Linked DNA regions of Nothobranchius furzeri. The protein of the gene in region 1 purifies or fractionates together with the protein of each later gene. This does not show direct contact. Links are inferred from orthologs where the notes say so. Each region holds a gene or a part of one and is shown on either strand. Other genes may lie near its edges. The genes, in order: wwox and vopp1b.

The links.
Region 2: the proteins of wwox (region 1) and vopp1b purify together in Homo sapiens (affinity purification with mass spectrometry; 3 studies listed by BioGRID and IntAct, with this or other methods). This does not show direct contact. The link is inferred for Nothobranchius furzeri from reciprocal best matches to the Homo sapiens genes WWOX and VOPP1.

What each region holds. Positions count from the first base shown.
Region 1 is NC_091744.1:72,868,458-72,872,282, reverse strand, and holds part of wwox (WW domain-containing oxidoreductase), read left to right. Parts: intron 1-3,040; coding exon 3,041-3,226; intron 3,227-3,825. UniProt on the Homo sapiens protein: Putative oxidoreductase. Acts as a tumor suppressor and plays a role in apoptosis. Required for normal bone development. May function synergistically with p53/TP53 to control genotoxic stress-induced cell death.
Region 2 is NC_091747.1:31,074,042-31,078,390, reverse strand, and holds the start of vopp1b (WW domain binding protein VOPP1), read left to right. Parts: upstream 1-1,253; 5' UTR 1,254-1,491; coding exon 1,492-1,542; intron 1,543-4,349. UniProt on the Homo sapiens protein: Increases the transcriptional activity of NFKB1 by facilitating its nuclear translocation, DNA-binding and associated apoptotic response, when overexpressed. May sequester WWOX in lysosomal vesicles and thereby regulate WWOX role as tumor suppressor.

The DNA.
Region 1 (3,825 bases):
TTTGGTCAAACACTTTCTCTCACTTATTTTGTTGTGGTCAGCTTTAATGGTGTGTGTCTTGCATCCGATCCGGTCGTTTCGTTGCTATTTTGAGGTCATGAATATTGTCATCCACCCGTAGGACTCTATGGAGAGGAGTGTGTTTGTGTGTGTGTGTGGGTGTGCGTGTCTGTGTGTTGGTATCAAGGGAGCCCTTTGGGGAGCGCCAGGGCAGTCATCGCCCATAGCAGCCCTGGGGCAGGGTATGGCCATCCAGGGCACACGCCTTTGGTCACGGCCAATCCTCACGGTGGCTTCACTCTCTCCGTTTCCCAAAGTTTCATTCCAGCTCATCCACGTGTTCCTTTCACTCCTCTGTTCATGACATTGCTCTCTCTCTCTCTCTCTCTCTCTCTCTCTCTCTCTCTCTCTCTCTCTCTCTCTCTCTCTCTCTCTCTCTCTCTCTCTCCCATTGCTTTTTAAACTAATTGTTTATCTGCAGTTTCTCTGTCTGTCCTTCTTTCATGTTGTCTCCATCTGCGTCGCTCTCTCTTTATCTCAGTATTTTGGCAAGGTTGTATTTCTTCATTAGCCGTGCGGTTTGGGGGTGGACGGGACTCCCAGGGGACGTCAGAGTACATTAATTCTCATCAGAAGGCGAACAGAGCGGAGTGGAGGCTGGGAGCTCTGAGCTGTGAATGGCACTGGGCAGCTGTCTGAGTCTACCACCACTCTATTACTGCACGTATGTCTTCAGGCATAACACACGCACGCAAATGCACGCACGCACAGGTATGTGCACACCTCCTCAGACAGCTATGTGCACAGATGCAGACACACATGGGTTTGTAAACACGTGTGCACAGTAATGCTCCTGCAGCGTGTCATTGACAGGTGAAATGTAATCAGAGTCTTTTTCTTTTCGTTCTCTCGTTTCTCACTCTCCTGCTTTTAAGTGCTTTAGTCAGTGGCTTTCACGCTGCTCTGTGTTCCATTGACCCCGATTCTGCTTTAATTGCCTGTCCTTTGAAATGAAATTACCTGGATATTGATATTGTTGAATGCAGCAAGATTTCATTGGGACATAATTGATGGAGGACGCCGCTGACAGAAAGCCCTAATACAATTTCTACTGAACGCGCCGTAATTAACACGTGCAATTTGTCCCCACAGCTGATCTTTTCTCTTTTTTTCATACTCCTCCATTCATCCTTCTCTCATTTAAACCCTGATTCCTCTTTCTTATCACACCATTTGCCGTTTACGTCATGAATACTTTCCGATTCATATATCTAAATTTTAAAGCCACCTTTAGGCTTAAATATGGGTCAGAAGGAGCGGTGTGTTTCCAGCTTCCTCTTTCCAATAAAGTGCTGCCTTAATGACCACCAGCTCACACAGGCAATCTCTTCCTGCTGGCCTACATTATCATAGAGGTCAGAGGTCACACCCATGGGGGTTATTTAAAGTAAATATATAAACGGACGTCTCCCTGTTTGGTAGTTAACACCCTCGTTTGACCAGCGCTGAGATTGCACAGTGCACACAGTGTTGTGTGAGGTCTTAATGTGGAGAGAGGGACTGTGGTCTGCAGCAATAGGCCTATTAAAGACATTCATTAGACCTGCGCTTATGAGAGAGGGACTAACTGGTGGGCAGTTGAATTAACAGGCCTTTTACATTACAAGCAGACTCACCAGAGGCCCATCCAAGAGCTGTGGGGGAAATTCTCTCTGCTGGTCTGAGAAAAGTTGGTTATGTGAGTTTTTCTTCCATCATAAATGTGCAATTTACTTGGAGTGACAAGCTTTGCCCCTTTGTCTTTGCAGGAAAAGGTCACAGCGTTTAATTCTCATAGCGTAAATATTAGTTTAGAGCAAACACTTCAGTGAAAGGTTAAAAACTTGGGTCAAGAGTTTGTGCCTTGATGTTATTGTGAAGCCCCTAGTGAGCCCGATGAGGACCGAGCCAAGGGTTTTTCCTTGTGTTGCACAATGATGCTGTACTTCACACTCTGTTGGACAGCAGCACTCGGGGCCAATGACAACACCTGTGATTTGCTGTCTTTTAATCACAGAGGAATTTAGCAGCAAGATGGCAACTTTTATCTTTTCTGTCAAATGATGAAATTGCACGTGTGTTTTCTCCTCCAAACCATTAAATTTAACTTCAGCTTCTTGTGTTTTGGTAAAAAAAACTAAGTACTTTACTGCTGGCGTGCATGTATGTGTGTGTGTTGATTAAATGCTGAGGTTGGCATTCTTTAAGTTGACTCACCGCCTAGGTTTGTGCTCTTTAATGAACCTAGTGTGTTCAGAGGCCTGAAGGTGATCGTACAGTGCACTACTATGTAATGGCATGGGATGGCTCATTATAGAAAGGCATAACAATTCACACATTAATTTTCCAGCATCCAGTTTTTAATTAATCCAGTAGGCAGTCTTAAACACAGGGTACACAAATTGCCTTTGGCCTCATAATTAATTCTAATGGAAGAAATTAAAAATTGGTGGGGTGTGTTTGGATTGCTCGCCTGTGTTACTGTGCTTTTGAGCTCATTGGAGCATCACTGTCACCGACAAGGATCTCTCGCTCCTTTGACCAATCCAGGAGCCTCCTTTCCTGTGCCACGTGTGGAGGTAGATCTGTTCGTCCGTTCAGTGGAAATCCAGCACATGCCTGGGCCTGTTAAACCCCACAGGCCTCTGCCAGGTGTTTAAAACATCAGGACTTGTGAGCGTTATTTCTGTCATCTTCCAGGCTGCTCTAGTGGTAGATTCGGTTACTCGGAGTACTTGCACCGCATCATCACCCATTAGGTCCACCAGCAGAGTGTTTAAATGGTTTCTTGTCATGTTGCTGCTCTTGGATTCTTGCCAGCTGCATTTAGTATCTGAGATACTTGTGTACCAAAGGGACTTTCAGGAGAAATCTCTGTATCGTATTTGTGTTACTCTCTACAGGACTCTAAAATCTCTGTTTTCACTTCTTTGTTATTTCCACATTTTTTTGTGGTATGAAAATCAATGTTGTTTTGTTTTGTTTTGTTTTTCCACCGTAGACCCTTACACATTCTGGTGTGTAATGCGGCAGTGTGCACCCCGCCCTGGAACCTAACCGAAGACGGCTTTGAGTCCACCTTCCAGATCTGCCACCTGGGTCACTTCCTCCTCGTTCAGTGCCTGCAGGACGTCCTGCGTCGTTCTGCTCCTGCCCGAGTCGTGGTTGTATCCTCAGAGTCCCACAGGTAAACACAAATAACTACAGAGATGGTGCTTAGTTTGGCATCAGTGGTTTCAAGAACAGGCTCATAAAACTAGACTTTACCACAGGGAAGATTTATTGCTATTAAACGTTCTTTTAAATTGATGGCTTATCGACCTTTTTAATTTTTAATGAGAACAGATGCATTTCTTTTTTATGAATGCGTCTTAATTTGGGAAGGCTAAAAGTGCTCTGTGGAGTTTTCTTATAAACAAACAAAGTCTCTTGTGGTTTAAAGTGTTTTGTTGAGTCATTTTGGTTCCTTGTAAAACAAAAAAAAAAGGCACATCTCAACTTTCTCATGAGTTTTTGACAACATTTTGGGAACTGTCTTTTGTAAACAGATGACTTGGAAGTTGAGATTTTATCATCCATCTATTTTCATCCGTTTATCTGGGGTCTGGTTGTGGGGGCAGCAGCCCAAATAGAGGCCCAGACATCCCTCTCCCCATCCACTTGGGCCAGCTCCTCCAGAGGAATCCTAAGGCGTTCCCTGGCCAGCCGAAAGACATACTGTAGTCCCTCCAACCTGTCCTGGGTCTCCCTTTAGCTCTTCTCCCGGTTGGACGTGCCTGGAAAACC
Region 2 (4,349 bases), on another chromosome or scaffold:
CATGGAAAGCTTTCAGTTACTATTTTAAAAAGTTCTCCACACAAGTAACAGATAAGTGAAGACAAAACAAATAAAATTTACTCCTTAAAGCCCATGTTCTGTCTGGCTGTAGGGCAATCAGAACTGCTGTCTGAGTACCGAAAACAAGCCTCACAGTTTTACTCTTACAGGTGATTCACTAGATTCAGCTATAATCCTCCACTTGGTATCTAAACTTTATTAGAGATGCTTTTGGTTGTTTTTAATTTCAAAGAACATGGAGACGGAAATGAAAGAGAATGGGGGAGAGGAATGGAAGAGGGGGTTTCACAAAAATAAACAGTAAAAGATGTACAAGGATCAACTTCTAGACCTAAAGGAAGAGAGAGAAAAGGGGACACACAAAAATGCCCGAGTGCTGTAGGATCAGTGAGAGTTATCCCAACAGGAGCAATACCCTCACTGCTGGCTCCTGGCTCCGATCCAGGAGTCAGGTAATCAGTGGTGCTGGGGCCAAGGCCCGTGTGCGTACGCATCTACTCCCAACGGAGGCTGGTCCTGTGGTCTCAGGGAAACCCTCAGCTGGCACAGGGCATTCTCACGAGGGGCAAACACATCCATGTTGGCTTCCCCAAACATGCTGCACATCTAAGTGATCAGATCAGAGTGACGGTGTCAATCCAAGTCACGACGTTCCCCCTGAACAAGATGTCTGCTTCCACATTGAGGTGACGTGGAATGTAGGTGGTCCTGATAGACAGCAGGTGCACGAGTCCAGCATAGTAGAGCACGTGCAAGAGTGGGATTGAATGAACCGTACCATGGCCATATTTGTACACCTCTGCTACCTAACTGTCTGTGTGAACCTCGACATTATGACCCATGATCAGGGGTACGAAATGTCTGATCACATTTCCCACTGTTTGCTTTACAGCCTGTTTATGTGGGCATAGATCCGGGGAGGCCATGCTTTTCCCTGTCCCATTTTCTATTAGAAGCTCTTGCAGGAGATAGGTGTAGAAGACTATTTTCATGTTAAGCCTGCATGAAAAACTCACAGTGACCGATAGAAATAATCATTGAACATGTTTTACTATTCCACGCACGCTGAAGAGATATAAACAACCCAGAAATGAGCTCAAGCCTCAGGAGGACAGTCTCTGAACGACTAATTATCATTCACTTTCTAGTCATTTGAGTCTGTATTGTTTTTTTTTTATTGGCTTTAGGAGAAATTGGTCATCACAACCACTTTGCGCGCGCGTCATGGGAGTGGGGAGGGGCATAACGCAGCATCACCACCGGGTTCTCCCTCTCTATCTGGCCCGCCCTCCTCTTGCTTTCCTCGGCTATTAGACACGAAGAGTCCGATGCGCTGCTGGTGGATCTGGGTGGTCTCCGGTATTGGGAGGATGAAACCGAAGTAAAGGAGCAGCTCCACCTCCTCCTCGTTCTCCTCTCCTCCAGCAGCAGCAGCGGAACTTGGCTTTCTGCTCTCATACCGGCGTAGCCATGGGGACCCCACCGGTCGGACTAGCCGTGACATTGTGCTTAATCCTGGAGGTGAGCGCTGTCTATCATTATCGCGGCCGCTTCGGTGCGGTAGTCTCGGGGTTGTGGCTTTGGTGCGTTACTCCTTGTTCTGGGTTCGGTTCTGACGGAAGCACCATTATCCAGCAGCATCATGTAGTAATCACATCACCATGACACCGTCTGGGGCCCGAGCCATCCTCCAGAACAGAGCAGAATCTGTCCCTCTGGGTGGAGACGGAAACAGAGGGGAAATGAACAAAGGAGCTGAAGCAGCTGGAGGAGGAAACACCTGCACTGTTAGGCGTGGTTGGTGCTTCTGTCATCCTTTGTGTTCTCATGAATCCTCAGTAGGTCACTGGACCTGTAGGACACACACACACACACACGCACGCACGCACGCACGCACACACACACACACACACACACACACACACACACAAGCGCACATGTAAACACACACACACACTCACCTACACACATGTAAACACCCACACACACACACACACATGCACACGTAAACACAGGCACACACACACACACGCACACACACACACACACCTACACACATGTAAACACACACACAAGCGCACATGTAAACACACACACACACACATACGCATGCACACACACACACACACACACACACACACACACACACACACACACAAGTGCACATGTAATCACACACACACACCTACACACATGTAAACACACACACAAGCGCACATGTAAACACACACACACACACACACATACGCATGCACACACACACACACACACACACACACACACACAAAAGTGCACATGTAATCACGCACACACACACAAGCGCACATGTAAACACACACGCACACGTAAACACATGCACACACACACACACACACACACACACACACACACACACACACACACACACAAACAAATAAACACATGTGCACACACACACAAACTGACTAATTCTAACTGATGGATATTTGCAGTTGTGCCCATTTTGACTGACTCTATCATCTCTTTTATTCTGCTCTGTTTCTGCTGTAGCTGCTCCACCAACACACACGTCTATTCATGCAATATTAACTCACGTCATCATTATTTTATATCACTTGGCTTTCCCACTCATTTTGAATGTGATTAGGAGGAATGCCCTAAAGCCTAACTTATGCTTCTCTGTCTGCATCAGCACAGACATGCAACATCATTATGCATTGTTGCAAGGGCTCTCCAGCTGGCTCGCAGTGACGGACAGAGTAGAGCCCACTTTTCTAACTATTCGTTGAAAGCGACGGAGACGGTGAGCCTGTGATTGGTCAGGTTGCTGCTGCCTTCCTTCATCAACAGCACCACCATTCCCCCTCAAATGGTAAAAGGAGAGCCGAACATATCTTGAAAGTACATACAGTGCAGACAGTGTAAACAAACCGGTTAAAGGGCTACTAAGCCGTGTTGGCTTGCTTTTAGCACCCACTAGTGTCCCTTTAGTAAAAACAAAAGTAAAACTCCTCTCCTTGTGTGTCTTTTTAAAACATAAATCTAACCCCCAAATTCCACTACCTCCGCTCCGCTCTGACACGAACGCCAGAGCAAAATCGGTCCCGTTGTAGTCAATCAGAGCAATTCCACTACTGCGGCAGTGCGGCGCCGTGCACCGCCCTCTGTTCTGGCGTCTGGCAAAAATAGAATCGATCCTATTTTCGCCGGACGCCAGAGCACCTCCGCAGTAAATGGACAGAAATCACAACCGTCCAACAGGAAAAGGAGCGGGCACAACTTCCGTTTTTCACAATAAATCGATAAACAGAATGCGTTTTTTGTTTCATATGCACAGGTTTAACAACTTTTAACAACTATCAATGGCGGCTGAAGTTTAAATGCACAAAAGTAAGCCATGAATACAGTTTCCACTATCAAAGTAGTCACCCTTTGTTGATCCAAACACTGCTGATCTCTCAACACACATGATGGGCAGATTAATCAGTTCATGCCGATGCTTCTCCCACACAACGGGTGTTTGGATCTAACTTCCGCGTTTATTGCTCGGACTGTATCGCAAGATCTCAAAAATCCTGCGCATGCTTGTTTGCCCACCTCAGGTCTCCGCACCAGAGCGGAGCCGGTCTAGAGCGGGTACCAGTAAAAATTGAGTTTGGAAGCGAGCGGCTGCGGAAGGCGGGGGCGGACCGGAGCGGAGCGGAGGTAGTGGAATTTGGGAGTAACTGCTGATGTGTCTCCTCAGCCGTCATTAGTTTCCACATGAGCTATTCACCATTGAATGAAACAAATCAGCTGGGTTCGTAATCTAAAACCATAGACATAGATACTGGACGATAGACTGCCCAATTACCCATTTATTAATTTTTGAGTCAAAAAAGGCGGTTCCCACCACTGCCGTTTTGGTCATGTTGCGTGTCTCATCACATAGCCTGCCCATTGCTCCGCCATGTGCCAAGTTGAAGCCAAAAAAGGCGGTTCCCACCACTGCCGTTCAGGTCATGTCAAGTGTCTCGAATGAGAAAAGCGGTGGAGCTGAGGTTGAAGCAAATGAACCAATGTAGCTACTAGCTAACAGACTGCTGTGATCGTAGCTGGGCTCCTTGGCCATTTACGCCAGTTCATCCTCCGCCGTAGTTGGTTAGCTACATGCTAACCCTAAGCTAACAGGCGTTTTCGGGTGCTTTTTAGTGAGAGAAACATGGTTGAGCAACTCCAAAGTGAGGCAACATCAACTCAAACAGTTGATGTGTTTCTGTAGTCTCCCTCAGAGAGCTCCACAGGCAACCAACTTGTCGTGATTTGGTGCTATATGAATGAACTTGAAATAAATTGAATTGTGGGAACCA